Lepisosteus oculatus: one gene and its partner. The protein of the gene in region 1 interacts with the protein of each later gene in a biochemical or structural test. Links are inferred from orthologs where the notes say so. Each region holds a gene or a part of one and is shown in the gene's direction. Other genes may lie near its edges.

Region 1 (9,274 bases):
CTCACTCATCTTTAGGGGACATCCGGGCAGCTCCTTCAGCCACTGGCACATGTGAGAATTGAGATTCACAACAACCAGTACACAAGTGACTGGTTACCTGTAACCTATTAAAACCGTGACCAGGTGGGGCATTTCTTTACCCTGAGGGTTGTAGGGCTCTGGGACAAGACAGCCACGTGGTTGAAGCTGATACCCTTGCTTCCCTCACGAAATGGCTGGATGCCATCCTTGGATCCATAGACTACAAACTGCCAAAAGGCCTGAACAGGCCTCTAATTTTTTTTCTAACCTTTTTCGTGACCTTGTTGAAAATTGAAAGGAGAAGGCTTCGGGGGAGGTAATTGCTTGAGACAAAGAAATACAATAAATAAAATGATCTTGGTAGATCATTTCAAAGTGGAGAAGGGGGCAAAGTTACATTCTAGAGTTACTGTTGATGCCTGTGGTGTCATAGCTTCGAGTTTGACTTTATCTGTTTTGGGATCAGTGCACATTGAGATAAGCACGGCTTTGCATGGTTTTAATCTTTTAAAGATCAAAGAGTGCGTGAAATAGCGTTGAAGGGTTTCTTTAGCCTGTTACAGAAAAACTCTTTTCACTCTACGTCAACAGAGAAATGGTTGACTGACAGCAATGCCATTTGAATGGACAGTCCGGTTTCCCAGTCTTTGGTAGCATCAGAGCAGAATCGATGTGACTCTGTCTTAGGCCTGCAGTGCAGGTTCAAGTATTTCACAAATCGCTTCTCCGGCAGTGTGCTGGCAGGCAGTGTCTGCAACTTTCTTAACATGGAAATTTATTCGGAGAAGCAATCACAGTAAACTTGCTAATGAGAATTCTGCATAAGCTCGCACTGTAGAGATAATTTTTTTTTTTTGCAAATGCATAAAAAATGAGTTATTGGTGGCCTTTGTTTAAAGTGTGCCTGCCTTTCTGGGCTCTGATCAGTATGGGCATGTCAGGAGAAGTCTCCTCAGTTGTTCAAGGCAAAAATAGAATTAGGAAAACCGTTCCCTGCGGTTGGATCCTCGGTTTCGGAGGGGGGTTGTGTGAGCTTGTTGCTCCCAGGGGCCCTGATGCTGGGAGTGACCTCCAGCTCACTTCCAGCCTCCCCCTCTCCATTCCTCCCAGCAGTCCTCCAATCCCTCAGCCCAGCAAAGACGTTTATCTTGCTGGGGTAATTGAATCTGCATGAATAATGAAAACAAACATCAAACAAAATAAAATCAAGTCTCATTTGTAGAATAAAGAAGATGAACTAGTAAGCAAGACTCTCAATAACTCATGTTGTCAAAGGCTGTTCATTCTCCCTCAGAGATTTTATACTATATATGAGATATAATGCAACAAAGGCTAACATTGCATTAATTCTGCGAGAGAAGTATCAGTTTAGTGTCAGGCTATCCACACAGTTAGATTGTGTATCTCTACAACCTTATTGCAGCTCAATTTAAAAAAAAAAGTGCCATTTAATTTTTACAATGCTATTTGCTTAACTGAATGTAGAAGTGGAATTTTTTCATCCTTGAAAAATAATACCAGTTATATGACCGGAACTGTATATACACCCAAGTGTGGTTTCTGTTTATGAGTATCAGGCTACGATCAGAGTGTATACATAAGGATGCAGCTTCACGTTTTTGTAGATACTGTAGGCGCTGTCCTAAAAGGTCATCCACGACAGGCCTAAGCACTGGACTGCATGAACCATTACAGGATTTTAGGAGGATTGTTTTTTGCTCAGATTGTAGATGTGCATTGGAGTCGGAGTTCCGTCAAGAGTGTTACATTCATGCAAAAAAATTAATGTGAGCTGTTTGCTATACTCTGCCTCTAGGGCGAAGGCTTTTGAACACTGCTGATTCCTTTGTTTAAATGGATGGCAGAAATGTCCTCAACTCCTGCTATGCTTGGCTGAGAAATTATTAATGGTCTTGAGCTTTACTTGAGCTTTGGAGAATTTTATTTGGGGGGGAGGGGGGGGATCAATTTTGAGAAAGACACAAGAAACGATTTTTTGAAGTGTCGTGCCAAAGGAATTTCTTTGGCCTCACGTATGTTATTATGAAGGCCATGCTTTAATCTGCGAGTGCAGGAGAGCTCTGTGCTCTTCCTTGTGTGGTGAAATTATCCCGATCAGCCAATTTGCAGCCCCCATCACTTCACCAGAGGCACATTCTGCTCTGAAGTGAGAGAGCGCTTCCCTCTTTGTCACAGGCGGAAAGAGTTGCTGGATTCCTGCCTTCAGAACTGGAAACTGATGGGAAAAAATGAAAAAAGGTTCAGTCCCCTGAGTGGAACAGCACTGGTGGGAAACTAAGAAGAAAAAATTCAAGGCTTAGACATAAATCAGAAGTTGTAGCTGGGTGTGACTGATATTTCTGAAGGGCAAAAAAAATATCAGGGTTTCTAAAGCTTGTTTTTAATATTGCATTTTTCCAAAGCTTCATTACCCCGTGCTAACATGGAAATCTCATGGTGTAATTCAAAGCATCCATCAAAAAGCCTGCGGTGTATATGAAACAAGTCCTGTAGGACATTGTCAAACCACCAAAATGGTTTGTTCCAGCTATAGTCCCATCCCTCAGGCAAAAGTCCAGTAAATGTGATCTACATTATGTATTGGCTGTCTGGATTAATTCAGATTGCTAATCGCAGTATCTTACTGTGGGACCCAGTGTCCTATTTTGTTTGTGGTTGGTGTTGAAAACTCTTTCAACAGTGAATTCTGAAGATGTGATCTCCCTCTCTCTGCAGGTTATTCTCTTTTTCCTGTTTTTTATACAGTCATTCGAGTATGACTTGGACAGCCTGTGAGCTAAACCCTTCGTTGCACTGAAATAACTGTTGTTTTTGTCAGTGACTGAGCTCAGGTAAAGTGCCACAGCACTTGCTAAATTCTAAGGAGACGGGTTGCACTCTATTCACTTTATGTATCAGTACAGCATACTGAATACATATTTTTATGTCCCTCTTAATGCAGAAAAAGTCTTGCAGCAATCCTCTTTCTCTTGCTTAGTCTGAGCTCATCGTTTTGGCCTTGAGAAAGCTTGTTGCAACCTTCGAGGATTCACTGTATTTGCTTCAAAGATCAGTCATGAGTGATTTGAAGTAATGCAACTTGACACTGTCTCTCTGAGCGTCTGTGTGCTGCTGGTATGCAGAAGACCTCCCTTCAGATGATATTCGACAGTACTGAGAGATTGTCTTGACAGAGAAGGTCTTCATCGCTGGGGCCTGCGTTGCGAATCAGTGCTGTGCTGTAAGAACAGGCCATGTTTCTGTTCCAGCCTGCGTGACTGGAAGGCTGTGCTGGGTTTTTTTTCGGATGGGAGATGTCACGTCACCCTAATGCCCTCCCTGCTCTCCTCTGGCCAGCTAGGAGCTATCAGGTAGAGCTTTCACTAGGAGGAAGTCATTCCTGTCTTTTGCATCCTGGGGTTGTTAACCGAAGGGACAAACGTTTTGATCATATATATTTTCAAAACTTAGAAGTACAGTATGCAATGTGTTCTCTTTATTTTGTTTATTGAGGCATAATATTATTATAGTTCAGGTGGGGAGCTGCGTCAGCATGCGTAGGCTGCAAAAGAACAAGTAATAGGTTTATTCCGTGCTGGAAAGAGAAGAAATATAACACAATGTTTCAGCTGTGGAGACTTCTTCAGGTCTGACCACTACAATATTCTGTGCCAAGATGTCCCCTTGGACGCTTTGAGGCAAGCATAGCTCTGTTGTTCTGGATCACACTGTACTGTACGTGCTGGATCATTGTGAAACACTAGTGGGTATGCAGACCCTTCGATACTGAAATGACCAGGGTCAGCAGTCTTATCACCTTCTTAACTACAGCTTAATATCTGTTTCTGCTGCCAGGAATTGATGCTTACTATTCCAGCGACTGTTATATCTGAATGTTTCACCGCCTCAGGAACTTGCCTTGTCCTCAGCACTTTTTTTGTCACAAAGGCCCAATTCAAAATAAAGTGCTGAGGACAGTTGGGATTACACACACACACACAGAGAAAAAAAAGTTGAACGCCTTTTTTTTTTTCAAATCTTGGTATCACGCAGTTTTCTCTGTCAGTGGCCGGGCGTTTTGGAAAGCAGGCCAGCGGGTGTAGAATTCTTGTTTACAACAAATGGCCACATGACTTTGGGTACATGTCACTCTTTAAATAGTCTCCCATGTGAATGATGAGCTGTTATTAAACTGTGCCTGAACTAACTCTATTAGTTGTATTAACATTCCTAATTAAACACCACTTCATTAACTCTCCATTTCCTGTGATGCCTTGACAGTTTTGTTCTGATGTTAAGAATTCCCCTGAATATGACGTCTTAGGCAGACCTCCCTTTGTACGCATGCAGTGATAATCAAGGTTACATTCGAAAGCATTTTGATACTGCTTATGTTACAGTGGGAGTGCCCACGAGTTACAGCCTCTTTCATCAGAGTACTTAGTGTACTGAGCTCACTACAATAAGATGTCTTTTCCAAGCACGGGGACAAACCACCAAACCAAAATCTCTTGTTTCCTGGTCTGAAGGAGTTTGCTCATTTGGTAAGGAAAACAAAGAATGGGATTAAAGTGGGATAGACATACTGTACCTCTCTGATTTTCCATATCATATGCATTTATGAACACAAGAGATAAATCTTTGGGTAGAAGAAATCCTGTTAGGAACTGACACGCCGCTGCTACAGTATGTGAGTGTTTTGCCTACAGGTATAGCATGAGAATCTTTAAAAGGGGTTGAAATTGATTAGTACACTAAGAAAGCAGTGAAAATGCTGGGGTTTTTTTCCTTTTGTTTTATTTGGGCTGCAGTCCTGTTTAGGATATTTTGGGCTGCAGTGAACAGTTCTAGGACAGTGCTACCACTCCGCCCCCCTGATGTCCTTCGTGTCCTTCATCCTCCAGGTTTCCCCTCTCTCAGGATCGCAGTCCAGAGCACTGCTGCTGCTGCTCCTCCTGGACACGGCAGCTCCTCGCCAAATCCAAACCCCAAGGCAGATGCATGTGGGAGACCATGTGTTTTGGGCTTTTTCTATGGAAACGCACCATTGCTTTCCAGCATTTAATGATCCCTTCTTAGGAACATTATCATTAAGATTATTATTATTTAAAAAGGATAAATTCATTTGCAATTCAGCAAATAAAAGTTCATTAGCACCCACAGCTTTAATGCACTGGGAACAAAAAAGGTTTCCGAGCTCATTGGCATGCAGTTTTTCATTGCTAAATTGATCTCCCTTCTCAAAGATGTCGAAAATTCAGGCTAGATGCCCCCCTTCCACCACGTACTGCAATTAACAGGAATTCATAAGGGAGCAAGCCGACTTAGGAAAACAGCAACTCTTGTTTTTTTTTTCCGTCCAAGAGTTTCATGTACTGCCGGTTTGTTACTTTCCTGTGCTAACTGCCACTGTTGTGTCTAATGGAAGCCCCTTCCTTGACTCCTGTTGCACCTGGTTCGAACATGTCAGCATGCTGGTCATCCTCCTGAACTGCGTGACCCTGGGGATGTACCAGCCCTGTGAGGACCTCAAGTGTCAGTCTGACTGGTGTACCATCCTGCAGGTGAGTGCAGACGGAGAAGTACTCTCCATACCTTCTACTGGGCAGTGGGGCAGCAGGTTCTCACGTTTTGTAGGTTGCTTCGTACAAGAAAATACCTCTCTTGTCACATCTTTAGCAAAGCTTTACAGCCTTAAAAGTATAGACCTACTGTATAGTTAATTGAGTCTTTGCTTTAGCTGAAGCACGTGATCCTTCTTGAAACCATTTTCTATGTGTACTGTGCCTAACAGTTTGAGCCACACCAGCTAAAAAAAATAAACCCGTAGAGGAAAATATCTGATGGAAAAAGTCCAGTTTATTTAGTTTAGCTTTTGGGAAGAATAGCACAAGAAAAAAAAGCCCTGTCTTTGGTGCAAAGATAGAAATTTGCCTCACTTCATCTTGGAGTTCTCCATATGAATTCTGGAAAAAACAAAAGAGCTCAGGAATGGTTTTTTTTATTATATTTATTCAAAAAATTAACATACAGGATGAAAACTTCATCCACATTGCAGTGTCCTATTTGGCGGACTATAAGCAAAGGTGTTTTGAATCTAGCATTACAGTTTGCAAACAGGTAGTAGGGAGTGGATTTAGTTCCTTGAATCATTAAAAAATTCTGGGACTCAACATGAAGTGTCAGAATGCAAAAATCCCAAATTTCCAAGTGTTGGCGTTATGTACCGGACAGTACTGGACCACTTCAAGCTCTGTCCTAGACCCACTGTTCTGTTCAGACGTACAGTACGCGCATTCTGTTAAATAGTGGTTTTAACTATTCCTCGGGCGACATTTTCACCGAATTAGGGAGCTTCCTCTGCAGCTCTGGCACATGTCAAGCTCTGGTGACATCTTACGGTGACAAATTCCCAGGCAAAAGAAAGACTGATTCCACCCTGCAGATATATCGGTTGGTGACCCGTCCCTTCTCCCTGTATTCTCGTTTCGGGCTGGTTACTGTGACTGTGGGAAAGTCTTGAGGTTTGGGCTGGAGCCAGGATGCCATCCAGTGCCATCGCAGTGCAGGCAGCTGTAGGGCAGCAGGAGTGGGCTGGACATTCTAACTGCTCCACTCCTGTGTCCAGGAAGAGGACTTTGTTTATCTGGTTCTTGGTGGTTGTTAACATGTGCATATAAAGTAGTATCTTCTCTGCATTTAGTACTTAAAGGGAGGTAGCTGAGGTTGTTGATAACAGGATCTTTAAATTCTATCCCTCATAAAAAGGTCAGCCTGTAGTTTCCCAGTTTCTGTCAACAAAACAGTACAAGAAACACTGTTTACGAAGAGGCACTTCTGTTGATCTTGCACACTTGGTTACTTGTAGCTCATTTGTTCATATAGTGCAACTTGTTATACCACATTTGAACATTTGCACAGTCTTCCCTAAGCAGTGAGGGGTGACAGTGACTGGAGTTTGCTCATCTGTAATTTATAGTGTTCCAATAAAGTCTTGTTTTCCTATTCCTAGTGGTTCTCTAGCATTACGATTACCTCATTATTATTTTATTCAAAGTTATTTTACCATCCTCCTCCCTATTTCCAGAAGCCCTGCCAAGACTTACCATTAAAAATCTCGATCTGTTGACTTTGTGGCACAGAACCCTCAAAAATGAACTGTTTTGGAAGGAATCGTAATGTCAGACACTGCTGATGGTCCAACTCATTGTTTTTCTTTGCAGGCGTTTGATGACTTTATTTTTGCCTTCTTCGCCGTGGAGATGGTCATCAAGATGTTGGCTCTAGGGATATTTGGGCAGAAGTGTTACCTGGGCGATACGTGGAATCGTCTCGATTTCTTCATCGTTATGGCAGGGTGAGTGGTCCATAAGAAGAATAACAATGCAGAACGCCTGTCTCTCCTGCGTTTCAGGGGAAAATCCCAACAGTAGAATGGCCCTGAATATTGGAAAGTGCTGCCAATGTGTGCTCTGGCATTTACATGTGGCATAGTTTGCAAATATTACATAAGCTTATCCTTAAGAGAATTTGGCCGGAGAGCCTGTCTCTTCTAATGTGTTGTCGCCTCCGGAGGAAATGTAGAAGTTGTGACGCAGAGAGCTCAGCACTTGCTAATGAGCTGAGCAGGGCTGAAGTTGTCTGTGAAAATGTTAGGTAAACGTCGTTATCCGTCTCAGTTATTCATGAATCCGTTTCATCACAGCTGAGCGCTCGATAATTATGCATTCCGCTTGTTGGATGTATACGGTGCACGCAGAGGAACACGCATCGGGGAAGAAAGGAATCAAACCAAAATACTCAAAGAAAAAGAGAGGGAAACAATTAGTAGTCTCGTTGCAGAGCACTTTAAAGACCAGCAGTCCCCACTGGACTGAGAGGGAGAAAAATGTTCTACTGGCCTAGGAGTCCTGGTCCCCCTCAGTGTTAAAAGCAAGGGAAGAGAAGGCTGGGAAGGCTGTGTTTAATGTCACCACTAATGTCAAGTCAACACCTCACTCTGCCGCTCAGGAATCCCCATGGGTTCTGAGCTCTTGCCTGCACGACACTTTTAAAGTCCAAGACAATTCTCGCTGCCTGCTTGTTCTCTCCTAATTCTGCTTCCTGATTAATTTTACCTGTCTCACATCAAAAGCAGCAGCTGTTCCTGGTAATTTTGCGTTCAGTAATAAGGGAAGCACATGTCGAACACTTTCTCCATCTGCATGCAGTATTGGCTCAATAGGAAATTGTGTTACATTTTGAATTACTGATGCATATTATGAAGGCTTATCATTCATTATAACTTTGGGCCTTATTTTTCAAAGTTATTCAGAGGCATTCAAAAGAGTAGCACCACGTCTGTGCAGTTTTACAAACCCCTAGACCAAAAAAATAATTTATATTCTAAAAATATGCCCACGGATTTGACTGTTTTTGTCTTCTGCCTGCCAATTTCTTATTAGGGGATTTCAGTGAACCCTTACTCATCAGTTAATCAATTTTCCACTGGTAGAAAATCAGGACCTAGGTGTTTATAAAAGACCCGATCTGAGACGACTGCCACATGCGCATGCCTTTCCAGAATACATTAAATGTTTAGGAATGGAAATATGGGATTCCATTAATATTTATCAGATACGTATACAATGCAGCTATTTTTTTCAGAGTTGGTGAAGTATACTCTACAAATCAGCATACAGTATATACAGCAATATACCATTTGTCACACACATAAAAAATAGTCTTCCTGAAGAACTGCCAGGAAATTGAGCAATATAACCTTTTCTGCCAGTGTTCCGCAGCTGTCCCTGATATACAGTCTAAGTGCTGATCCAGTGATGTTCCTCCTTGCTGTTTCTGTGCAGGATGATGGAGTACTCTTTGGATGGCCACAATGTCAGCCTGTCTGCCATCCGCACTGTGCGTGTGCTCAGGCCACTCAGAGCCATTAACAGAGTTCCCAGTAAGTGCCTTTTCTGCTCAAGCCTTTTATTCGGAAACACATGCTTTTGGAAAGGAAACAAGAAAAAGTGGATGTACTCTTGACATACATATACACACACTTGCTAAATATATTATATTGTATATTATTATTATTATTATTATTATATTTTCTCTCATGCACAGCACAGATCTACACAGAAACAGAATTGTTAAACCGTTTTGCCCTTCTGTTATTCGAAATGGTGCAATCTAAAAATACTGTAGCATGTCTCGAAGAAGTGTGCATTTTAAAAACCTGAGTCATGTTGTTGTTGCTCGAAGAGAGTGC
Region 2 (9,790 bases), on another chromosome or scaffold:
AGAGAAGTGGACAAGGTGGAGGAGATGGAGAGATACTGTACTTCTTCATTCCATGAGACACAAGAGTGTCTGGAGCAGGTGGACAGCATACTTAAAAAAAGGCACCTGTTTTCATGAAACAGTTGCTTCCACTCAGTCTAACACTTAGTTTCTCAAAGTGGACTCGGCAGTTCACAAGTGCAAAGAACCAGCTACAAACTCTGGGTAATACAGCACTGCAGTAACACTGTAGTATAGTACTGGAGAGTAGAATATTATGTTGTGCTAAACTGTTTTGTACTAAACGGTAGAAAACACTACACTACACTGTAGCAAATGCATTGTACTATAGCTCATGGTACTCTGCTTAAAGCTTGATTATATCTCAACCACAGGACCTGCTGCCACCCTTTCACCTGAAGTCAAGACCACTCGACCTTCTGTCCTGTCAGAGCTTGAATGCAGGAGGTGGCAGGCTCTGATTCTGGCATGGATGAGCACAGAGGCAGCAGTGAGGATTGCTGCTTCGCAGTGCCAGGGCTCAGGGTTTAGGTCCTGGGGTACTGTCTGGGTGGAGTTTGCATGTTCTCCCCGTGTTTGCGTGGGTTTCCCTCCTGGTGCTCTGGTGTCCTCCCACAGTCCGAAAGCATGCTGGCATGAAGCACCTGCCCGGTGACTGACAGCCCGGTGTGAGTGTGTGTGTGTTGGTGTCAGTGTGTGTGCCCTGTGATGGACTGGCATCCTGCCCAGGGTGTATCCTGCCTTGTGCCCATTGCTGGATAAAGCAGTTAGAAAATGGATGGATTCAAGGTTGCAGAGTTAAAATAACATGACCAATAGGACATGTTCCTCTGACGAGAATGAAGAAATGTGCCACGTATGTTAGTTTTACTATGTGAGTAGCGGACAAACCAAAGCAATCGGAAAAAGTAACTCATTTTTGTAAATTAAGGAACATTTCTTCTAACTCCTTTGCTTATTTTCTGTATAATTGGAGTAGCTTTCATGCACTTATTGTAAGTGTGTTACTCACACTTGTTATTGCCTGAACAGTAGAGCAGGGATTGTGCAGTAGGATATATTTCATATTATTTGCATTTGAAATGGCATTGGTGACAGTTCCTATTGAAGTTAGTGGCCAGGGTAAGCAGATATGTGATCCTTCCACACGCAGGCTTAAGGCTATTGAAGGCATTGGCACACCTGAACCGGGCCCAACAGTGTGGCACAGCTGTTCCCTGTGTTGTATTGACCTGCATCCCCATGCAGGGGGTGGGATTTCTGACTCTCTCACTCACCCAGTGCTTCTCTTTCTCCCTGTCGAAGAAGGCCTCTTCCCTCACTCCCTTCATCCTCCTGTACTTCTCCAGGTTGTTCCTCATCTCCAGGTGGCTCGGGTTTGACACGAAGAAGGTTTGGGCGGCTGACACCGCCTTCTCCAGCCTGCCCAGCTGCAAGAGAGGAGGAGGAGGTCAACACAAAACGCAAGGGCCCTACAGGCTGAGTGGAGGTAATAATGATTCCATACACTATAGCGCTTTTCTGGACACTCCACTCAAAGTGCTTTACAGGAAATAGATCCCACTGTCACCACCAGTGTGCAGCCCCACCTGGATGATGCACCAGTACTCTCCCCACACACCAGCTCTCAGTGGGGAGGAAAGCAAAGCGATGAAGCCAGTTCAGAGATGGGGATTATTAGGAAGCCATGACTGGTAAAGACCAGGGTGGAAATTTGGCCAGGACACCAGTTACACCCCTACTCTTTTTGAGAAACACCCTGGGATTTTTAATGACCCCAGAGAGTCAGGACCTCAGATTAATCTCTCAGCTGATGGACAGTGCAATTTTTTTACAGTACAGTGTCCCCGTCCCTATACTGAGGCATTAGGACCCACACAGACCACAGGACCAGCGCCCCCCACTGGTCCCACTAACACATCTCTTCCAGCACCAGCCTTAGTTTTTCCCAGGAGGTCTCCCATCCAGGTACTGGCCAGGCTCACACCTGGTGAGCTGCAGGGGGGGCTGCCAGTTGTGAGCTGCAGGGTGATACAGCTGCAGCACAACGAGAGATTCACACTGCGCTGAGAATGAGAAATCAATGCAGGCAAACAGATACACAACAGACAAACGTGAGACAGGTGCCCGGAGTTACTGTATAGAGACAAGACGTACAGTAAGATGATGAACCAATCAGGGAGATATACAGTTACAGACTCAGCCAGCAGTGTACACCCATAGATAAGATGGCAGACACAGAGCCAGTACCTTGTAGTAGGTCACCTGCAGGTAGTTATAAGGATTCCGGTTGGTGAACTCATACTGGATGTCCAGGGAGACAGGGGGGATGGCAGAAGGGGTAACGCGCTGTTCCAGGCAGAATTTCAGACACTCAGCCCGCCGCTGCACCAACCCAAACACAGCCAGGTCCCAGAGACTCCCATCCGCGCTGTCTATCGAGCATCAATAATCTTGAGTCAGTCCCACTGCTTACTCCCGGGCTGAACCGATTACAGCCGTATCACCCTCTGACCCGTCTGAGAATTAAGACAGACACTCCACCACCCCCCAGACATCGTCATTGACAGTGTGGGTCATAGTCAATAATGGGTAGTCAGACACTCTTCCAGCAGCTAATCAGGTCTGATTACCTTCCAGCTCCCAGCCATCGTCATTGACAGTGTGGATTATAGTCAATAATGGGTAGTCAGACACTCCTCCAGCTGGTGATCGGGTGTGATTACTGCCAGAGATCATCAGTGATACTGTGGATCACAGTCAATAATGGATAGTGAGACATTCTTCCAGCAGATGATCAGGTCTGATTACTGCCAGAGATCATCATTGATACTGTGGATCACAGTCAATAATAGATAGTCAAGATACTCTTCCAGCGGCTGATCAGGTCTGATTACCTGCCAGCTCCCAGACATCATCATTGACAGTGTGGGTCATAATCAATAACGAATAGTCAGACACTCTTCTGGCTGCTTTATCCATTCCTGACATTATTGACTCGCCTCACGGTTGACAGTCTGTCAATAATCCATCATTAACGCTCATCCCAGTGATAACCTCCAGTGCAGGATGATCTCGGGGGAAAAGCAATCTGTGCTGATCGGTTTCAATTGGGTACGATATTACAGTTGCCCAGGGGTCCCAGACTCGGGTCCTGAAGGCTGCTGGGTCTTCTATGCTTCTCCAGCACAGGCAGAGATCATGAGCTAGCTACTGCCTGACCGGAGGATTTTAAAGCGTGACTCAAGTCACAGGAGCTGTGAACGATAGCCCAGACACCGGCAGGGGGTGTGACAGGAGTAATAAGTAAATTTGGGGGCTCTGGAGGAGAATAAAAAAGCAGGCGTTTCTTCAGCTGCCCTGAGATCTCTCTCCTGTACCGTCTCTCTCAAACATCGATGGCCGGTTTTCAGTCAAGTGCCTTCTTCGGTGTCATCAAAAACCAATGACAAAAACTCGCACCCGAGCATTCGGGAATCGTTACCGATCACCCGTCAACGAAGCACCAGCGCATCATAAATAATCTGTCCGGTCCAGTCAGTCCACGCCCTTCAGTGACCGAAGTTAAAGATCAGCAGTGGGCTATGCCAAGCCAGTGTTTAAAGAGCACATGCATCCCCACCGGCGCGGTAGTTACCCAGGCGAGCGGAGTCCCCGGCCGCCGCCGCCTCGCACTGGTCGTGACAGCCGCGTCGGACCTGGAGCAGCTCGGCCCGGGTGGCGATGGAGCGCTCCAGAAACTCGGCCGCGCGGTCCCACTCCTGCGTGAAATACGCCCGCACGCCCGAGTAGTACAGGCGGTCGTAGGGCAGCAGCTGGCCCCCGACGGGCTCCAGCAGGGCCCCGGCGGCCCGGGCAGAGAGGGAGAGGAGGAGGAGGAGGAGAGAGAGGAGAGGGGAGCCCGGTGCCACGTCGCTAGCTGCGGTGTTTCCTCCGCGAAACGCCATTCGGATTCCGAGACTGGTCCTCCAGGAGATGGGAGGGCAGAGAGATGTGGAGGGAGAGATGTAGTAAAATTAAAGTGTGTTTTTTCCCTCCTCTCTCTCTTTCTCCTGGGACGGGGGGCGACAGTTGTGGGGAAGGGCTCAGAGAGGAGGAGACGGGGCTGGTTTTCTGCGGTGTGGGAGAATTATTGAAGGGGGAGTGTCGAGTTACAGCGGAGAGGGGGGAAGGACCGTGTCGTACCCTGAAGACAGTATCCTCCTGCGCGGTGGGGAAGAATGCTGTGCGAGTTCAGACCGACCGCATTCCTCAAGCCCTTGAAAGCGCTCTGCTGACCCTCTTCTTCTGCCCTTCGGCCCAACCACGTCGCAGCGAGACCCCTGCAGTTTGCGCCGTCGACAGAACTCACGTTTAAACGCCGGCAAAACGAATTTCATTCATCGTTGATTTCATTTGGAAAAGTGTTCAATCTGTTTTTGTGTCGAGGCTACGTGCCACTTTCCCTAGTCTTTCTACCCCCCCAATAATTATACAGTCATTATAACACAAATGAGGCACAAAGGGTACTCTTTTCTCAGCTCTCCTGTATTGCATACGCAGCCGTCTGTCATTACGTGGGAGGCAGCGCCAGTAATTCCCCAAGTGTGCAAGAATAAACGGGAAATTGTATACACAACGATGCACCACCCCATAGAGGAGTATTCGTTAAGGTACCGACACAAACTCGCTCTGTCTCGCTGCGTCTCTGGGGAAAGTCGCACCATCTTCTCGGGAGAAACGGAGAACGACAGACAACGACAACATACGCCTTGTGCTGCCTAATCTGCGCACGTATTTGAGTGTGGGTCTTCATCCTGTGTTAATAAAGGCACGTTTTCGCCCGGTCGCTGACGTGATACATGAACTCTTAAATTTAAGGAGCCGTTACTAGTTGCAATACCTTATGCTTAGTACGTGGCGGTCGATGGATAACTTGTTGCCTTTTTAAGCATTACGTTTACTGCAACTCGGTAAGGCAAGTCGTGAACAGATAATATTAATCAGTTATCTCAGGGGGTGTCGCAGTGTACGGGAGCAGAACCGCTTAGTAAACCGAAATAAACGCCATAAATGTGGCTCATAAGCGCTGGACGGTTCTGATTCTGAACATTCGTGTTGGATTAATGTACACAATTGTATTTAATTTTTTTTTACTACGTGTTTTTTCCTACTACTATTTTACGACACAACACGTAAAAGGCAGTAATTAGTATGTCTACATTTGAATCTGTGAGTCCATAGAAAGTCTACACTGCTTCTCTGACTCGGAACTTTTTCCGAAGCGAACTTAATGACCGAGGCGACCCGCTCCGCCCGCCGCTAGGTGGCAGTGGCTCTTCTCCGGGGCAGCCGGAGTGACTTTTCCGCTTTCTCATTGTCGGCGCAGCAGCATTCTCGGGATCAGCCGTTACCGTATTTTAAGATATATAAGGAACGATAAGATTATTGTTGAGTTCAACATAGGACAACTTCCAAATGTCACTAGAATTAATACAGTAACACTATGTGAGTTCCTGTGTACAGAGTCTGTTTTACTTTTACTTATTTATGTATATAAATAATTGTGAGAGCCAACTAGAAATTGTTAGGTTTTTAATACCGTTTATTATTCACTTCTGTCCAGAAAGCTTTTAATGCATATTTCACAATCACTTTTTTCCAATTAAATGCTATTAAAATTAACTGCCACCCACTATTTTCCTTCGGCATAAAGCTATTAAGAGATATTCATCGAGATTAGAGCAATTAAACAAAATTTAATATAAAACGTTTAACATATTTGTTATTTGTACATTCCCATGAGTTAAGCTTTATCAGTGGATTGGATGCATAATGAAATGCGTTTTATGCCTGAGGATGGAATTATGAGTTAAGACAAAACGGGACTTCCTTCGTACTAGTTGTATTACGGTTAGGCGCGCGTCCGCGGCGGACTCGGAGTGTGTCTGGCCTCAGGAGCGCGCCCGGCCTTACAGTTTCCAGTGACACAGAGAGACGGACCGAGCCGGAGAGAGAAAGAGACCAACCAAAAAAAAAAAGAGGACAGAAAAGAGAAGGACGATGTCGGACCTAGGCGAAGTGCTGATGTCGGTATTGTCCACGATCCGTGTCCCACGGCCCGGGGACAGCGTTCACAAGGAAGAGTGCGCTTTCTCTTTCGCCAGTCCGGTGAGTCCAGTCCATCCATAGTCTTTCCCTCTTGAACCCCGTCTCTGTCTCGTCTGGCCACGTCTTTGTTTCTGTCTTCCCCGCTCCTGCTTTTCCGGGCTATTTCTGTGTGTTTGTCTCTCTTGTCTGTCCCCCCCCGCCGGCCCGCCTTGTCCAAAAATCTCCCCCTCCTTTCCTATCGTCTGAATATCTGTTCACCCGTCTTTCCCAGAACCGCATATCCACCCATTTTCGCGCTGTGTTCTTTCGTTCCAGTGTGTTTCTTTACTTCTTTCTGCCTTCATTTTCTCTCTCTGGGTCTATTTTTGCCCATTTCTGCCTCGTCTGCTCCTACTATCCCTCCACTCCGTCTCTGTTAGGCGGTGTAACTCCCTCGGGTTGACTTGGGAGTAGTGTTGTTTCCTTTCTGTAATTCATATTTGTGTGAGGCGCTTGCTAACATCTGTATCGCCCCTTCCTGACCGAAAAGTTGTGTAGTAGCGTCTGTCAGCTGTTCTGTGTAGACCATTACATGTCTGTGCATGTTCGTGTGCCAGTTTGTGTGTGTGTGTGCAGGTCTGTGTGTGTGTGCCAGTTCGTCTGTGTATCTGCAGGTCTGTGTGTGCCAATTTGTGTCTGCAGGTCTGTATATGTGTGTGTGCCAGTTGGCCAGTCCATTACAACACACCCCTGTAGTCTGAGTCACTGTTTCTGCATGCTCTCCGTCTCCCAATGCAGTATTCATGCACTGTAGTTTCCAGGCTCAGCCAAACAGTGTCCCTGCCAGGTACCATCATCTGACAGATAGGGATTCCCTCTGCCAAACTGTCAGAACGCCAGGAATCGGCCTGTTCCCTCCTTCCTCTTCTGCACAAGCGTGTCTTGAAGGTGTTCCTTGGAGAAATGCACCACAAAAGCTGACCTGTCCATTGCGGGAGAGGTTTGGGTTTAATTGCAAGTCACTCTAGCAGATTTCCAGGCCTTTCAGTGTTGAGCGATCTCCCGCTCAGTAGAAAAGGAAAGCCCTTCAGCTGAAGTCTCCCTTTTATAACGGCTTCATCTAATTCAGAGTCGAGGGGGAGTCTGTCCCAGCAAGCAAGGGGCACAAGGCAGGGTCCACCCTGGACAGGACGCCAGTCCATCACAGGGAACACACACTTACGCCAGGGCCAAGTTATCCCAGAATCCAATTAACTCACCAGCATGTCTTTGGACTGAGGGAAATCAGATCCCCTTGAGGAAGCCCATGTGAACCCAGAGAGAACGCGCAAACTCCCCACATACAGTACCCCGGGAATTGAACCTAGGGCCCCAGCACCGCAAGATAGCGACGCTAATCTCTGTGCTACTGTTAGACAATGTCTTTGGACCGAGAGAGAATACCCACATTAATATGCATCTGCTTCTGGCTCTGTTCCCGAGCTGAGCCAAACTTACTATGACTAAAACATGCTTCAAATGCTCGGGTGCTGACCGGCCACTGCTCCAGCTCCACAGAGCCCTGCAGGCGAGTCAGCACCAATTGGAGGGGGCGGAGCATTTTCTCCTTGACATCACCGCAAGTGATGACATCACCGCAGAGGGGTCCCTTTCGAGTGTTTCTGGACACAGCTCGATGAGTTCCTGGAATCCATCAGCCCCTAACTACCACGCGCTCTAGATGAGCCGAGAGGCCTCCTCTGGCTTGCGGTCGGTCTCACCACCCTCGCTCTCGCTATCTCTCTCCCTCCCAGGACAGCGAGGGGGGCCTGTACGTGTGCATGAACACCTTCCTGGGCTTCGGTGCTCAGTTTGTGGAGAGACACTATCGCCGGACCGGCCAGAGAGCCTTCCTCCACATCAAGAGGACGCGCCGGCCACAGGTACGCCCCCATCTGTCATCTGTCATAATAATAATAATCCTTACACTTCTATAGCTCTTTACTGGACACTCCACTCAAAGCGCTTTACAGGTAATGGGGATCCCCTCCACCACCACCAGTGTGCAGCCCCACCTGGATGATGCGACGGCAGCCATAGTGCGCCAGAACGCTCCCCACACACCAGCTCTCAGTGGGGAGGAGAGCAGAGTGATGAAGCCAGTTCAGAGATGGGGATTATTAGGAGGCCATGATTGGTAAAGGCCAGGGGGAAATTTGGCCAGGACACCGGGGTAACACCCCTACTCTTTCCAAGAAACACCCAGGGATTTTTAATGACCACAGAGAGTCAGGACCTCGGTTTAACGTCTCATCCGAAGGAGGGCGACTTTTTTATTTCCAGCTGGGGGCTACACGTGTCCTGTGAAGCGCTTGGAATGGCGTGTCCAGAAAAGCGTTGTATAATTGTAAGGAATTGTTTTATGTTATTAAGTTTGTGGATGTGCACCGCCATGCCGGGCCCCCAGCCTCTGGTACAAGTACTAGGGCTGCCCGACCTCTTGGTGATGGGGTGACTAGCACCCCTCTGGCCCCAGTGCTCGGTGTATCTCTCTATACAGACATCTCCTGCTGTCAGGGCCTGGCAAGCACACATGGAGTTTCTTCTCCTAGAAAGGATCGTGCTGCTGCTTCAGGGATTTTATTTTTTTACCGGGCTTGCATGTAATCGTCCGTTATTTTCGTTTTTTGTCCTTGCCCCTCATGGGAATACATTCCGTATTGCCCCAGGGTAAGTGTTTTCTGACCTTCTGTCAATGTTGTTGGCTCGCAGAAGGAAGAGGAGAACGGATCGGGGGCGGGCGACCCTCCGAAGAAGAAGCCCACCCGACTGGCGATTGGTGAGCTCGTGGCGGGGGCCTGACGAGGCTCCGTGTTCGTCTCCTGTGGGCAATTGCTGGGCAAAAGAGGCAGCAGAGTCTGCGGATCAGCCCCTGCCCGTCAGGAAATCCACTAGCCAGTTGCAGATAGAGTTGCATTAGCCCAGATTCCTGAGTTTTAGGACCAGCTTGGTGGGAACAATTGTGTTGAAAGCCAAGATGTAATCTATAAATATAAATAGTCTGTATAAATCTGTGTTTCTTAGGTGTGTTTGTAGTGTCTATATTAGAATCTGTTTTGATCTATTGTGTTAGATGTCTCTCTAGGGTCTATATTAGAGTCTCTATTGATCTGTGTGTGTGAGGTGTGTCTCTAGTGTCTATATTAGGGTCTGTATTAATCTCTCTGTGTATTAGTGCCTATAATTGGGTCTGTATTTCTGTGTTAAGTGTGTCTATATTAGGATCTGTATTAATCTCTGTGTTAATTGTGTTTCTAAGGTCTGTATGAGGGTGTGTTTTAATGTCTCTGTGATAGCTGACTTCCGAAGAGGTATGTTAAATTCTGAATTAATTCATCTTCCTTTTGCTCAGGAATCGAAGGAGGCTTTGACGTGTCTGAGCAGGATCAGTACGACCAGGAAGTGAAAGTTGTTATCTTTCCTGAGAGACTGGAAGTGACCTCAGAAGACCTGGCCAACATGCCTGATGTTGTCCGCGAGAGGGTGAGGATTTTGGAAGATGCTCACACATGGCTTTTTGAAGTTTACCTGCTTAACTCTTTTTCCTTGCCATGGAGAGTGTACAATGTGTATTTTGGACATTTAGGTAATTCCAATGATTTATTCAGTCTTATTTGAAGGAAATAGTAATCATCATAATAAATTGGTAACGCTTATATAGCGCTTTTCTGGACACTCCACT

Evidence for each region.
Region 2: the proteins of cacna1ha (region 1) and usp5 form a complex in vitro, tested with the Homo sapiens proteins (2 studies listed by BioGRID, with this or other methods). The link is inferred for Lepisosteus oculatus from reciprocal best matches to the Homo sapiens genes CACNA1H and USP5.

The regions. Positions count from the first base shown.
Region 1 is NC_090714.1:12,663,100-12,672,373, forward strand, and holds the start of cacna1ha (voltage-dependent T-type calcium channel subunit alpha-1H), read left to right. Parts: upstream 1-5,388; 5' UTR 5,389-5,492; coding exon 5,493-5,585; intron 5,586-7,244; coding exon 7,245-7,378; intron 7,379-8,867; coding exon 8,868-8,965; intron 8,966-9,274.
Region 2 is NC_090718.1:2,639,726-2,649,515, reverse strand, and holds the start of usp5 (ubiquitin carboxyl-terminal hydrolase 5), read left to right. Parts: upstream 1-5,686; 5' UTR 5,687-6,042; coding exon 6,043-6,150; intron 6,151-7,862; coding exon 7,863-7,991; intron 7,992-8,820; coding exon 8,821-8,887; intron 8,888-9,460; coding exon 9,461-9,591; intron 9,592-9,790. Other genes in the region: p3h3 (prolyl 3-hydroxylase 3), read right to left, coding at 1,278-1,430, 2,251-2,435, 3,638-3,947. UniProt on the Homo sapiens protein: Deubiquitinating enzyme that participates in a wide range of cellular processes by specifically cleaving isopeptide bonds between ubiquitin and substrate proteins or ubiquitin itself.